Linked DNA regions of Drosophila melanogaster. The protein of the gene in region 2 interacts with the protein of the main gene of each other region in a pairwise test. Each region holds a gene or a part of one and is shown on either strand. Other genes may lie near its edges.

Region 1 (6,494 bases), on a different chromosome or scaffold from region 2:
ATAGTATTGGTGGTGGTGATGTGATACGTATTAAGCTGCTCGATTCGGATGACGAGAGCCTTTTTGGTGGAGGTGCCGGTAGTGGTGGCGGTCGGAGCGGGGCGTGTAGCGAGGACGACGATAGGGACACGTCCAGCGATAGTGTCTGCAACTCAGGCGACGAGTTGCACACGAGGCTACGCCCCCGGCCACGCTCCCATTCGTGCTTTGTGAACAAGAACCATCAATCGACCATCAACACGCCCGCTCATCTGCGCCCGCATCATGTACATCACGTTGTGCCCTATACCCACATGCTAGACAGCTCCCCGTCGGCGCTCTCCTCGCAGCAGTCTTCCTGTGATAATCTGCCTGCGTGCAGCGATGATGACGAGGTCCTGGCGGTGGCGGCCAACGGTCGTGCGGCCTCGTTGCGGCGGCAGCAGGATCGTCATAGGCGACGCCGTCAGAGGCGGGAGCGGCGCTCCCATTTATGTCACACTCCCAATCATTGTGGTAAAGTGCGGCCCATCCTATCATGCCTGTACCATTGAGCTGCCCTGCTAATTGCTAACTGCCAGAGCACTGCCACGCCTCACCGCCTGACTGCCGATCGCCCAGATCTTCCGCCTGCTCGCTCGCTCGCTCGCCTCTTTCAACCGCATCCACTCGCTCATTCTTTGTGCCGTTTGTTTGTTCCAATTAATGTCTGTGTTTGCTTGTTAACTTGGCGGGCAACCGTTCCAACTTGTGTCTAACTATGTTCGGACTTGGTTCTAACAGCTCCGATGATATAACGCTCACTAATCACAGAGTCCTCCCTCTGCAGCAGCTTTTGAAAAAGGCAAAGGACGCCTTCTTAGAATAAAGCAAAGCACGAAGCGCCTGTTCTGGTATTGCCTATTTCAAAAACTGTTTTAAAATACTTAAGCCACTTATGTATGGTTGCGACTTATGTAGAAAATCAATTTCAGTAGTATAATCAGAACAGGCAGGCTTTAAATAATCTTAGTGCTTCACAAAGAAAACCCCCATCATTGCCTTTTTATAATCAGACACTTAAACATTCCACAGAGACCGAGGAGACAGAGGAGCAACTGCTATCGCAATGGTTTACGCTGGTCAACAAGAAGAACGCACTCCTCCGGCGACAGATGCAGCTAAATATACTGTAAGTTATCACTTAGAACTACTATCGGCTTTGTTTCTTATTATTATCTACACCCTTCAGCGAGCAAGAAAAAGATTTGGAGCGAAAATATACAATGCTTAATCAAGAGCTGCGGGCGGCGCAATCTGTGGAAGATTGGCGCAAAACGGAAGTTCAGCGTGAAAAGGAGCGACTGCTGCTCGAGGAACTGATGACGATTGTCGACAAGCGCGACCAGTTGGTTCAGCACTTGCACAACCAAGAGATAGCGTAAGTGAAGCACTTTTCCCATCATTAAAATATACGAAGCTAACCCTCGGACTCGTTTAGGATCGAAGACGACCAGGAGATCGCGAGGAAACTGGAGCACGTGGACATCAGTGCTGAAAAAGACAAATGTGTTCTTCAATAGAAATCGAAATTAACCAAACCTGACTGGAGATTATACTTACACACACTCAATCTTATCTATGTAACTAGTTAGATAACAACTATGTTCAGAGACACGCGATAAGGTCGCGTGGTTTTTGTGGTTCGGTGTCGCTTCTTATGCAATCGTTATATCCAACGACAACAAATACTTGGACCACTTGGTATGGTTATTAAAAAAAAAAAGGTATACTGTGAAACAAAACAAATTGCTTTTGTATTTAAGCAAAACAATTCAAGAAATAAGAACAAAACGTCCGTTAGTGAACTAAGTAAAAAGACAGGCACACGTTTATACACCTATTTACGATAATCAGATCTTGGTATTACTTTAAATTAAATGGTGGTAACTTTGTTTCATGTTTCGTTGTTGTGCCATCTGAACCACTCCTAACTTATGTAAATCCTGAACGCAATAGCGATGTGAGATAGGGAATTGAGGAGGCAATTTTACGTTAGTTTTACTTTAGCATTTATCCCACATAACTAGAAACGCTTCATCCAAAAATACACGTACACTTATATATTTATGAATTACACTTATACAACAAACCTATCTTAACATACCTTATTTAGACCCGTACATTTGCTCTAAGTTAAGCAAAGCGCTTTAATCATAATTTAAAGGTGGCTTATATACTTATATAAAATACATTTTAATTTACTTTGCCCAGGCGAATGTTGTATAAAGAACTGTTCGACCCAAGGAACATTAATAGCTAATAAAAGAAACGAAAATGCTGTCATCAGCATCGAATAAACCCAAAACCATTCTAAGAAGTCTTATCCGTTGTTATCTGGGAAAGTTACTCCAATAACAAAACAAAAATGCGTCATATCGATTTATTTATTTTTTTGTATTAACAGGTTTCTCAATACAAATACTTAACAGAGTATCATTTTAATTGACTCAGTAACAAAAAAGATTAGTCACGTCGAGAGGTAATAGTTTTTTTTATTCGATCAACAGTTTAGTGTACAAAAATACATTTGTTTAATGCAATCAATCGTTAAATTAATATCGTCTTAATTGAGTGATAACATATGTATGTATATATACTCGGAAGCTGCATTATTTCCATGGATCACTTGAGAATTGCTTAAATGATTGCTAAATTAGCAGAGATTTCATCACATTGTACTTGATATTATTTTCGTTTCTCTTGTTCCTTCTGAAAGGAAGTCTTTTAATTACTCTACAACTCGTCTACGCATATAATCTAAAAGCATGCAAAGAGATTTAAAAGTTCACAACTAAGTGACGTCATGACGGCGCTACCATTGCTCTAGTTCAGCGATAAATAACTACAAAAGAAGCGAAATCAAAGTTGAGTATAGGACACAGCTACAAAAACAACAAATGCGAAGGATAGACTAACATTTGGCGTCGCCGGAGATGAGGCAGATCCGTGCGTCATTTCGTGGAGCTCCTCGTCGGTGTAGGTCTGGTTGGCAGCCTCGACCTTGTAGTTGAATGTCGCCGATACGGGCTTGTGGTCGGAGAGAGTGTAGTCCATGTGGGACTGATAAGACAGCTGGTTGGCACTCAGGGTAATGCCCGGATAAATGTTGCTCTGCACGCGATGCAAAATCCGATCGCACCAGGCGGGTCGCCGCTTCAAGTTGTAGTCATTAGTGCCTTCCACGAACTGCAAGGAAAATCAAATGAACTTTATATGGGTGCTAGAGATAAGGCGAATTAATTACATTCGACATATTGCCTCATAAATTAGTTGGATTTTGCTTTTCTCATGAAATCTGTGGAGCCGAATGAAGTGATTGATTGATGAAGTGATTGGCGGAAATTAAAAATTCAAGTGCAGATAAAATTAATTACACCCACCCCTATATACATTATTTAGATTAAGATTAGAAAGTTCAAGGCAAACTTTGACTGTAGAGATAATAAGATTGTATATTAGATTGTTACCTTAAAAGTGGGCGCAAAGTTGGGCTGCTGCTCCTCCAGCAAGCTGAAGGCGTTTCCCTTCTCCCGGAGCAGATTCAACTGGTCGAGCTTGAGCAGATCAGCGTATCGCTGGTTCTCCACATCCGTGCGGACATCCCAAGCGGACATATCGCCGGAGAGACGGAAGTTAAGATCGCCAAACCAAAAGACAAAGTCGTGATCGAATATCCGGCGATATCCCTGCGCATTGTACTTGTGATTGTCCACGATTTGGTGATAGTCTTCGATGCGCTCCTTCAGCTTCTCATCGTGCGCCGCCAGATGGGAGCAGACGAATGCGACGCCAGTTCCGTAGAGCGAAAGTCGAATGCTTACGGCACCCTTGTTGCCCCACAGCCCTCCAAGTCCCGTGCGCGTGGCTTCTGTCTCGATTTCTTTCATGTGCGGGATGTGCTTGTGCTGTGCGAACATGGTTATAAGAATTCCCTGCAGCTGCTTCGAGTCCACCTTTACGAACTGGTGATCGCTCAGAGAGTCCGCGATCTTCAGCACCCACGGATCGTCATTGAAGATTTTTAGCACCTGCGGTGTGGTGCTCACCTCCTGGAATCCGATTACATAGATATCGGGCAGCTGGTTATCCGGACAAGTGGTGGTGCCATTAAGGGACAAAAGGGAGCTCAGATCCTGATTTCGCGGCGTATGGGTGCCCACGTTCCAGGTCAAAAGGAAGATGCACAGATCCGCAATCGCCGTGGCCGTAACCATTTTTCCGCCGTCTAATTATCTATGATTAATACTTGTTGTTTTGGACGTCACAAGGTGGCTGTTGATGAGTTCATGGGCATCCAAAACAGGTTTACGGATTTGGCAGCATCAGCAAATAAAGCGAAAGGCGTTTTGCACACGCAACTTTCATTTATGTAACCGTTAATTCTTCAGCACTAATTTTTTAAGCCGCTTTAATTGGACTAGGAAGCGCTAGTTGCCCGTATTATTTATAGAATACTCAGATGTCGTTATTTATGTTTATTTGTCCGTCCGTTGCGTGAGCTTAGTGTGACCGCAGCACAACTATTTAAATATACCTTAGGCGGCGGCAAAAATTTTATGGTATCTCGATAGTAACGGAGCTCTGAAGCTCATCGAAAACATCGGCTAACATGAGCTTCTCATCTAATTTAGATTTTTATTTGAAACACATTAGATATTATAAAAGCCAAAAATCAATTTAAGAAATATAAAGATATAAGATTAAAAGTTGTACTGTGCGTAAGTTCCTTTAAAATAATAATACTCTTATTTCATTGTTTTTTTTTTTACGCGAGAATGCCCCTTTGCATTTGCTTGTGCTAAACCGATATTATCGGCAACTAGTCAATTGTGTGTACACACTGGCTAAGGATTTTTCATAAAAATAAACACTTTGTATAAACTTACCTTCCGAACTATTTTACTTAAGTTAAAAGTATGGCTAACAGCTACGACATACCCAGTTGGTGCGTTGTCAAATTCAGCCGCTGCCTTGCCACAAAATCACGTAGCATTTTATTTATTTTAGGGCTGGAAAACCGCCCACTGGCTTACATCTGGATGTGCTAAAGGACGACAAACTAGTACAAAAACTGATGGTGGATGAAAAAAGATGCTATCTATTTGGTCGCAACAGTCAAATGAACGACTTCTGCATAGACCATGCCTCTTGTTCGCGGGTCCACTCGGCGTTTGTCTACCACAAGCACCTCAACATAGCCTACCTCGTGGATCTGGGGTCCAGTAGGTACTAAGATATCTGGGATTCGGAGTAAGCTTATCCATTTACTTTTGACAGCTCATGGCACCTTTATTGGAACACTCAGATTGGAAGCGCACAAGCCCACACAGCTGCAGATTAATAGCACCTTCCACTTTGGGGCTTCTACCCGGAACTACATACTCAGGGAACGACCCTCTGGCCACCACAGCAACATCATGGAAGACCTGCCGCTCAGTGAAACCAGCGATGGAGCTCTCCTGGGCCTACCCGAAAGCCAAACGGAGCTTGATGTGCGTTTGGTTGAAAAGAAAAGCTAAATACTATGTAAACTAACCTTCCATTATCCTGCAGAATCTCACAGAATACAACACAGCCCACAATCGGCGCATCTCAATGCTGGGCATCGATGATGATACCAATATGCGAAAGCAAAACGCCTTGAAACAGGGACGGCGCACTCGAAATGTCACATTTAACGATGAGGAGATTGTCATCAATCCTGAGGATGTGGATCCTAATGTGGGACGCTTCAGGAACTTGGTACAAACCACTGTGGTGCCCGCCAAGAGGGCTCGCTGCGACGTCAATCATATGGGCATCCATTCGGGCAACAGCAGTTTGTCCAGTGCCAATGCCGCACATGTACACCAAATGTTCCAGCAGAGCCTAGTTGACATGAAGCAGCAGCATAGGGAAATGCCTCCGCCCAATGCGGTGCTCCACTCGCCTACTAATTCCCTATATCAAGGTCTACCGGCCGAAATGCATGGCAAGGGTGACCTAGAGCCCATCTCCCCGCTGAGCATTGGTTCCAAGTTGGGCCTATTGCTCCCGAATCCTGCGCCTGAAGTGCTGCCAGTCTATGACGAAGCTGTGGAGACCTCGACATTGGCTCAAAAGTTGGCCGTCGCTAATGCAAACGGTAATAGTTCTCGCGACTATTTGTTTAAAAACTTACTGATTGTTTATAACACCATTTTAGTTCGTCGCTTTGGTGAGGATCCGCATGACTCGAGTGGCGAAGGCGATTCGCTGTGCCCACAGAAAAAGAAATACGCCAAGGAAGCATGGCCAGGTCGCAAGCCCATGTTGGGGCAGCTGTAATTGCGTATTAACAAAATAATTAAGATTCCACCTACGATTTTCTCAAGCATATGATTGACAACACACTCTGGAGTAATATTTGTTTATTAGACTTTTAACGTAAAACAAAACATTTAATATCTTTATCTGATCACATCTTGCAGCTGTGTGGATACCTGGGGAAGGGT
Region 2 (8,713 bases):
GGCACACAGATTGATAAATATAGCCGAATGCATAATTTAATTGACTTTTATGGGTGCTCCGGCAGCAGCCCCACAATTTACACCATTGTTTGTTTTTGCATATAATTTCAATTGAATTTTAATTGAAATTATGACGACTCCTAGCTCCACTGAGCCAGACTCAACTGGGCGGCACTGAGCCATTGTTTTCCTAACCGTAGTGCTTTGTTTACGCGCCCCGGCAATAATTTTGCCAATGGGCTGTGGCTCGTGGGTTGTAATACGGTGGGTGGTTGGGTGGTCCGCCCACAATGGCAACCATTTAGCATATTAGAATATGCATTGTTTGCGCCCAACTACGGCACACGCAATGTGCGACCACCCAGGAGGCTCTGTTCACGGGGGACGAGGATCGAATTCTGTTTAGGGCTCGCCAGGATGTTTCCTAATAGCCGTCACTTAAATTGGCCAGGGAATTAAATTTCCTCGTTCCCTAACCAAGTGGTTTCCAATAGCACCTATACTATTTTCATTGTATCCTTGTAGTTTGATTAAGATGAAGAAATTCTACAAGATACAGTCATGGTCAAAATTATTTTCACAAAGTGCATTTTTGTGCATGGGTCACAAACAGTTGCTTGTGCAGCAAGTGGGGGGAGGTGAAATGCAAAAAAACTTTTGCTTTTGCAAATTCAAACCTATGCAGAGTCAGATGAAAGAAGAATGGAAAAAATAACTGTTCCTATGCGCAAGGAAGAGGCAAATGAAGAGATCTTTATCAGTTGTCAGAAGTATTTGCACACGGTTTCGTCGCATCACAATTATTTTCACAACGCAATTTCTTCTTCAGTGATTGGTTTAGAGTGACAAGTGCCGGTTTGTTTGCTTAAATACATTTAAATTATTGAATAAAAATTAGATTTAATCATTTTCCTATTACAGTTATTAAATAAAATGCCCAAAACAAAAGAGTTAACAGTTGAGGCCCGGGCTGGTATTGTTGCTAGGTTTAAAGCCGGTACACCTGCGGCCAAAATAGCTGAAATATATCAAATTTCGCGTAGAACTGTCTACTACTTAATAAAAAAGTTTGATACAGTTGGCACATTAAAAAATAAAAAAAGATCAGGCCGAAAACCTGTGCTGGACCAAAGGCAATGCAGGCAAATACTTGGAGTTGTGGCGAAGAATCCTAGTGCCAGTCCGGTAAAAATTGCCTTAGAATCAAAAAATACAATTGGCAAACAAGTTAGTAGTTCTACAATTCGTCGCAGGCTAAAAGAAGCTGATTTTAAGACATACGTTGTTCGCAAAACGATTGAGATCACACCAACCAACAAAACAAAACGTCTTCGATTTGCGTTGGAATATGTTAAGAAGCCTCTTGACTTTTGGTTTAATATTTTATGGACTGATGAGTCTGCATTTCAGTACCAGGGGTCATACAGCAAGCATTTTATGCATTTGAAAAATAATCAAAAGCATTTGGCAGCCCAGCCAACCAATAGATTTGGTGGGGGCACAGTCATGTTTTGGGGATGTCTTTCCTATTATGGATTCGGAGACTTGGTACCGATAGAAGGAACTTTAAATCAGAACGGATACCTTCTTATCTTAAACAACCATGCTTTTACGTCTGGAAATAGACTTTTTCCAACTACTGAATGGATTCTTCAGCAGGACAATGCTCCATGCCATAAGGGTAGGATACCAACAAAATTTTTAAACGACCTTAATCTGGCGGTTCTTCCGTGGCCCCCCCAAAGCCCAGACCTTAATATCATTGAAAACGTTTGGGCTTTTATTAAAAACCAACGAACTATTGATAAAAATAGAAAACGAGAGGGAGCCATCATTGAAATAGCGGAGATTTGGTCCAAATTGACATTAGAATTTGCACAAACTTTGGTAAGGTCAATACCAAAAAGACTTCAAGCAGTTATTGATGCCAAAGGTGGTGTTACAAAATATTAGTATTGTATTTATATAAAATAAAGAAATTCTTATGTTGAAATTAGATGTTAAGCTGAAATTTACTAAATTAAGTTGAGTGAAAATACTTTTGAAGCGCAATAAACATGTGAAAATACTATTGACAACTTGCATGCATATTTTCTTTTGCTTTAAGCTTTGTACTATGAACCGTTATCTTTCGTATTTCTTTTCGACTACCTTCTGCATAGATCAAGCTAAGCGATAAGAACTATTTCAGGCAAATCGGACAACAACAAGAAGAAATATAACAAAAAGAAGTTGAAGTTTGCAAATATTGTGCGTTGTGAAAATACTTTTGACCACCTCTGTATGTTTTCCCAGAGCCAACGAACTGAACTTGGTAAGTGTTTATTAAAGGACTTTGCCACAAAAGGACTAATCATTGGATAATCAAAAAATGATTGAACAAGTGTTAAAAATATTTTATAGGTAATCATTTTTCTCATGTTACTGAAAGTTGCAAGACTAGCGAACATATTTCAGTAATTTAAAGTGCCACACATCCATTGTTCAACATTTGTTTTTATTAGAGTTTTCCGAACTCAGCTGCCGGTGTAGTTTTACTTTTTCCTGTCCCTTCTGCCTCGTAAGTAAGGAAAACAAATAAATAAATTTCAGTTCTGGCCAGGGCACTCACTCTCACACACACACATAGCCACATGTGGAAATGTGTGTGTGAGGTTGCCTTTCATAAATTTGATATGTATGCGAATTCCTTTCGGTTGTGTGGTTGGGGTTTTGTTTTTTGTCAAGCGAAACCCATTTCCTGGGACTCACATGCTGCCACCAGGTTTCATCTACATTTGCAATTATTTTATGCTCCGCATTTGCCATTTCGTCTTTAATTAGATTTCCTGCCCAACCCCTAGCACAAATTTGCACTTGCCTTTGATGGGGCTTTCATTAGCCCGGCCTTGCGTGCCGTTTGTCTTGCTGGACGATAATTCCACTTTGGCGAACAAGGGCTGGCCAAAAAACACTTTAAGCCCTCTTCGGCTGGCTCACATGCATTTGCTATTGGGCTCTCGGTGTCATGCTGCGACATGCACTACTCGCCACGAAAACATGCAATTTGCAATGGCCATTTGCGCGACCATCAGTCAGTGGGACGCTAGAAACTTTAATTGCCCGCACACGTTTTAGCAAGCTAAGAAAGCTCGATGGAAAACACTGAGTAAAACTCGACAAAATCGCACTCGCCGCAAATGTGTTTTCGCGCCTTAGTTTTGGCCAAACTCTGACACACGAACGTGGACCTCAGACACCGAATGCCACTCGATATAATAGCCTTTCACCACGACGACGACCGCCAAGCACGTCCTTTCGCCAGCTCGTAACGAATTCAACTGAATCGCCACGGCCAGGAACAGCTCGATTTGTTTATGAATCGTCGTGTGCGCTTCGAGCCGAGTCCTCGGAACTTATTGTTCTGGGCGGCAGAGAGAGCTTTTTAGTCCTGTGAGTGGGGCTGCGAATATCGTAAAGTTAAGAGAAAGGGCATTTCTAGTGCTCTGCCCTTCACGCTCAGTTAAGAATTAAATTCTTGGTATGATACTTACTGCTTTACTTTCAAATTTTTGCTTTGCTTTAATTTGCTTTGTTTTAAAAAAGCATTTACTCTCACAATTTTTAGGGAAATCGTAGTTTTGAGTTCAGAGTTGATTATTAAAAATATAAATTCTTTATACAATTTAAGAAAGAAATTGCATATATTTATTCGTTTTCTGCTGTAATGAGTGAGAAAGTATTAGATGGAGAACAACATTTTCGTTTTCTTATTTTTACAATATAATTTAAAGCATTGCCGTAATTGTCAGGCGCAGTGACTTTCGAAGAACCATTTTGAATATCAAAATTTGGGAACACCAGCTCCCGGAATACAGGATTGTCCATTCCTATAGCTCCACATAGATGATCTAAATTGAACAGAGTACGCCTTTCCCCAAGTAGCAGGGGCCCTATCCGTATTCCTGGTCCCATTCTAGACACAAACAAAAACATTCACAGCAGTCGAACAGACAGCCCAAAGACACTCCCACACCAGCTGTGTGTATGCGGTTTAGTTGGCCAACCGCAAAATTCTTGGCAAACAAAATAAAGAAAACTAACTTGGGCCGAAGCAGAGCAGATCCAAGCGGCAACGGAAATTGTTAACCTTTGGGGATATCAAACATTTACGATTGCGTGGCAGCGGCAGCAACATTTAAGTTTTTATCAGCACAAAATAAAGTTTTGGTTTACGGATTGTGTTCCTGTCCGCCAACGCTCCTCCTACTATCCACCACTTTTTGGCCAGAGGCAGCTACAAGTGCCCAGGAGCCAAGACAGGAGCAAAATTCAGGAGCAGAAGCTGGATCAGGGGCTGAAGGTTCGTCCCTGTTGATTCTGGGGCACGCAAAACTTTTATCCTTTTCAATTTCGTTTTTCTTCGCCGAGTACTTTTGAGGGATTTAAATTTCTGTTTGCAGCCGAGCCAACAGCGAAACAACAACCGTGGGAGTGGCAGCATCGAGTTCGTGGCGACCAGGTGAGTGTTTCTTGTTGGCCTAATCACGGCTTTGCCGACTTGGCCACAATCAAGCACAATGCGATTGGCGCTGCTAATTTGACTTGAATGATACATAAAAAGGTGTACGAAAAAAAATTAGGAGGCTTATGTGAAAATGTGATGGTAGAAAATAAGTATATTTTTGATTAAATATTTTTAACAAATAGTATTTTTTAGTCTAAAAATAATTATTTTTCAGCCGTCATGAAGAAGAAGAGTCGTAGAGATCGGACACCAAAAGTAGAACAACCTGAACCATCGAGAGTTGTCAACACGGAGCCTATTCGACTGAACGTGGAACCCCAATCCCAAGAGATAGATGACCAGGCTGCACCATTTATTTTGGTAGACTGTGCGAAATATGAGGATCGTTCAGATTTGGAAGCAATGCTTAGTTCCATAGAAAAGGAACGGATGAAAAAGGTTCAGGCAGATATAGAGCAGCAATATTTTCCCCTCCTGGAGGATGAAGAACCACCTCCAGAATTAGATATGCCTATAAACCTAAGCTCTCAAGCATTGGCTGTACTGAATGATGCAGATAATGAGCGCCGCTTTAAAGAGGATCTGGAGAGCCTTAGTATTGCTGGACTGGAAGAGAAAGATACATCCATTAGCATTACCAACATGAAAATAGAAGACAGCAAACTATTGTTTCGGACTATGCCAGGTATGAATCAGATTTGCTGCACGCTAGAGCAGATGAAAAATGTTCATGGGAAAATTGGACCAGCAGAACCAACTCCACAGGCACGTTGCACCAGCTTGATTCCACTTTCAGGCCTTCGCCGGCAAGACACCTTCGAAATTAAACGTAAAAAGAACCAAAAGATTAGATATCCCGAGGTTTCCACCAAATCAGCAATTAGCGAAAGGAAACATCTACCATTAATTGCCAAGGGAGGAAAATGTGAGAAAGTTATCTCAGAGACTGATAAGATTTTCAGCCAGATTGGCGATCTTCTCGTGAAACTGCAGCTCCAACACGAGGGCAGCAAAGTCCTGAACAAGGGATCCTCTTATTCCTACATGGTGAACATTAAGCCAGCTGGAGGTGCATCCAATTGTTCAGTTTATGCGCTTACAAAACTCAAATCGCACGAAGTAGAGGAGACGCATGCCGAAAATCTAAGAACTTCTCACGCTCCATTGATCAACATTTTATACCCTGGTCGTGGTGGACTTATGGAGACTTCTGAGTTGTCCACGACCGCACGATGTATCGATGGAAGCTCCATTGGGTCGATGTCCCTTCGCGAAACGCCGTCCTCCAAGATCAAACCATCATTTTTACGCAAAAGGCCCAGTTCCCATCTAAGGGCACCTAACCCTGTCAAATTTTGCCACGGCAGGAAGAAAAATTAGGCCGCTTGGTAACCATTCCGCAAATTATTTGTTCGAAAGCCATTTATTTTCTATCGACATTGGAATCTCCAAATAATGCTTACAAATTCATATGTTGGTCATTCAAAAGGATCTTGAATGGATATTTTATGCAAAAATATATCAGTTGCCAGAGTCTAATGAACGGTAATAATTCAACAAATGCATACAATGCGGCCATAATATAAAATATTAAGTGATACAAAACAAATATATATTTTTATAAGCCATTAATTAAAAAATAACCTACATTTTGGTTATTAATGGTCTCTTGGATTTATTTCCACTAGGGTCAATTAATAAAATTGCAAGTCTGAAACCCAGTTTAAAAGATCAATATGCTGTTTTCGATTGAATTGAATTGTACAGCGCAAACAATATTTGTTTTTTCTTTATTCATCGCAAATAAACAAGTGGTTTCAAGTGGTTTATTTATTTGCCATTTTAAATTCATCACAAAATGCACAATAATTATATAGATGTTATCGGCATTCACATTTTCAATTACCCTCGTATTTTAATTTATTGTGTTGTAATTAAAGCGATTTAATCATATTCAATCGCCAGAGTCCTCCAATCAAAACTCGTGCACCTTTCTGGAGTGCTTCCCTGCATAAAAGTTGCATCTTGTCCACTTCCTGGAGGAGTTGTCTAATTGCATGGCCACGCACTTTCATTGCTCATTTCCGAGTTGCCCTCAAGTGCGTGGTTGCAGCTCATTTTGTTCGGTTTGCACAATTGTGGCCAAAGTGTTTTCAACTTTCTTCTGTCAATGCGCCCGGAGGTCGAATCCGAAGTCCGTGCCTCACCCGAAAATCCCCTCTTTCGGTTTGGGTTTGGTGAAATGTCGGCCAAGTGCTGGGCTTGGCTTGTGCCAGTTGGCAGACGTCCTGCTGCAGGACCTTAAAAACCTGCCTGCCTCCTGTCATTTGTCGTTGGCCAGAAATTGCAAGATTGACTACTGGGCTGCAGAGGGTGAACAAGTGGGTGGGCACAAAAGTTTTCATTAGTTTTAATTAAATCCCAAACAGCATTTCCATGCTGCACTCTTTCGCTCGCTCGTTCTCTGAGGCGTGTGCTCTTTCGAGCCTTTGTCAATGAGTTTTCCCAACAAAACCGAATTAAAAACACATCAAAATTAATGACACTCCGCCCCGGGATGGCCAGGAGCCGGGAGCTGGTCAAAAGGAAGTTGCCATTGCCTCCACTGCCACTCGAAGTGCGGACAGCATTTGTGCAATTTATTTAGCCGGCTTTTTGCGGCGCTTCTGGATGCGCGCATGTTGCTAAATAAATTTCATGATTTACTGCAGCCATACGGGAAACGCGGACAAGAAGACAAAAAAAAAAAATGCCAGTTGCCAGTGGCCACAATGTTTATATAGTTGTCGAGTGGGCGTGGCGCATCGACGGGTGCGAGAGGCGGGGACGTATGCCATGAGCCGAGGCTACATGAAATTTGCAATTAGATTTGGCGAAAAAGGCAGCCGCAACATCCGCCCGGCGTCCCAGTTCCACTTGCAACCAGCAACCAACTTCGTTGTCGGTTCGGTCCGGACGAAATATTTAATGCGGAAAGTTTAATCGCAATAGCAACGGCAGCTGCAGCGTCGCATTTCCGGCATTTGTTGGTTTTTAGACTGCATTTCCCGCATTCAGATGGCAGTTGCAACGCAGGACATGGACATCGCAGCGACTCATGGTTGACATCATTAAATTTGATGTCCGGCATTTACTGGTCACCGCCTCTTGTCTTCGGGGGCATCCAGGATGCCGGGTCATCGGGATGACAGAATGCGGACGCACTTTCACTGCGGCCAGCCTTTGAGTGGCCAAGAAATTAAATAAATTTTTGATTAGTCCGGAGCCACATGTATATGTATTCCACACTGCTTTTTAGTGCAGAGATTTCCCTGGGATTTAGGTGCGCTCAGCGAGTGGTGGCTTAATTTTCTGGTGACCGCTTTGAAAGTGGGCTGATTAGCTTGGTAACTGAAGTTGCACTGGGTTAGTCGGAGCTAATGGAAACAGAATGGTGTCATTATTAAAGTAGAAGATTTTTCATTTTTGTAGAGAAAAGGAAGCCTGTAACAGTCAAAATTTCATCAAGTTTGCAATTAAGAAAGTGCAGCATCGACACTCAAATTTCGGTGAAGTGATAATCGGAACATGTTTTTCGCTGTCCTCAGCATCTCTAATTAGCTTTCAGCTAATTTGCAAAAAACCCCCGAGCGTGGGAAATGAAAGCCAAATAAATGTTGCACACAATTAGAATGCACAACAATAATTACATAATAAATTCGCCAACGCAACTGGAATGGCAACTGCAACTGCAGCTGTCTCAGCGGCATTCAGTGTCTTCCGGCGGCAGCTGCCACGAAATGTAAATGAAAATAAGTGGCAGGACGCCTTCTTCGTCCTGTATACTTCGCTCTTGTTGGCGACCGCGTTTACAAATGCCTTCGACTAGTTGAGCACTTGATCAGCGGAGAAGTTGGCTGAGGGAGCGGGAGCATGAGCTTCCTTCATCCATTTTACTCCGCATGTGGGCGACGGCGAGATTAATAAAATTTATTATCATTGCGATAGTGGCAAAACAAACTGAACGCCCCACACATCCCCCAAGTATTTATGTGCTAAAACCAGCTGGGAGAACATATCAAAATGAAGTAAAATTCATTTTACAACATTCAGACTGAGCTGAGTGAGCACTGAAACTGTAGCTCTCGAATGCAAACCGAAATTGCAAATGCTTCTGGGCTGCCATCGAGCTGAGGGCTCAGTGCTGAGAGCTCAGTGCCGGGAGAT

The links. Proteins that work in one complex are often made in the same cells at the same time.
Region 1: the proteins of CG10164 (region 2) and CG6805 interact in a two-hybrid assay, tested with the Drosophila melanogaster proteins (one large-scale study listed by BioGRID).

The regions. Positions count from the first base shown.
Region 1 is NT_033778.4:17,003,502-17,009,995, reverse strand, and holds CG6805 (uncharacterized protein), read right to left. Parts: upstream 4,546-6,494; 5' UTR 4,236-4,545; coding exon 3,489-4,235; intron 3,208-3,488; coding exon 2,881-3,207; 3' UTR 2,864-2,880; coding exon of another isoform or gene 2,834-2,863; 3' UTR 2,495-2,833; downstream 1-2,494. Other genes in the region: Ehbp1 (Eps15 homology domain containing protein-binding protein 1), read left to right, coding at 1-495, 1,054-1,150, 1,211-1,399, 1,460-1,541; NiPp1 (nuclear inhibitor of protein phosphatase 1), read left to right, coding at 4,938-4,966, 5,029-5,243, 5,299-5,513, 5,575-6,145, 6,206-6,327; AsnRS-m (Asparaginyl-tRNA synthetase, mitochondrial), read right to left, coding at 6,458-6,494.
Region 2 is NT_033777.3:23,552,021-23,560,733, reverse strand, and holds CG10164 (uncharacterized protein), read left to right. Parts: upstream 1-3,790; 5' UTR 3,791-4,501; intron 4,502-4,721; 5' UTR 4,722-4,726; coding exon 4,727-5,887; 3' UTR 5,888-6,411; downstream 6,412-8,713.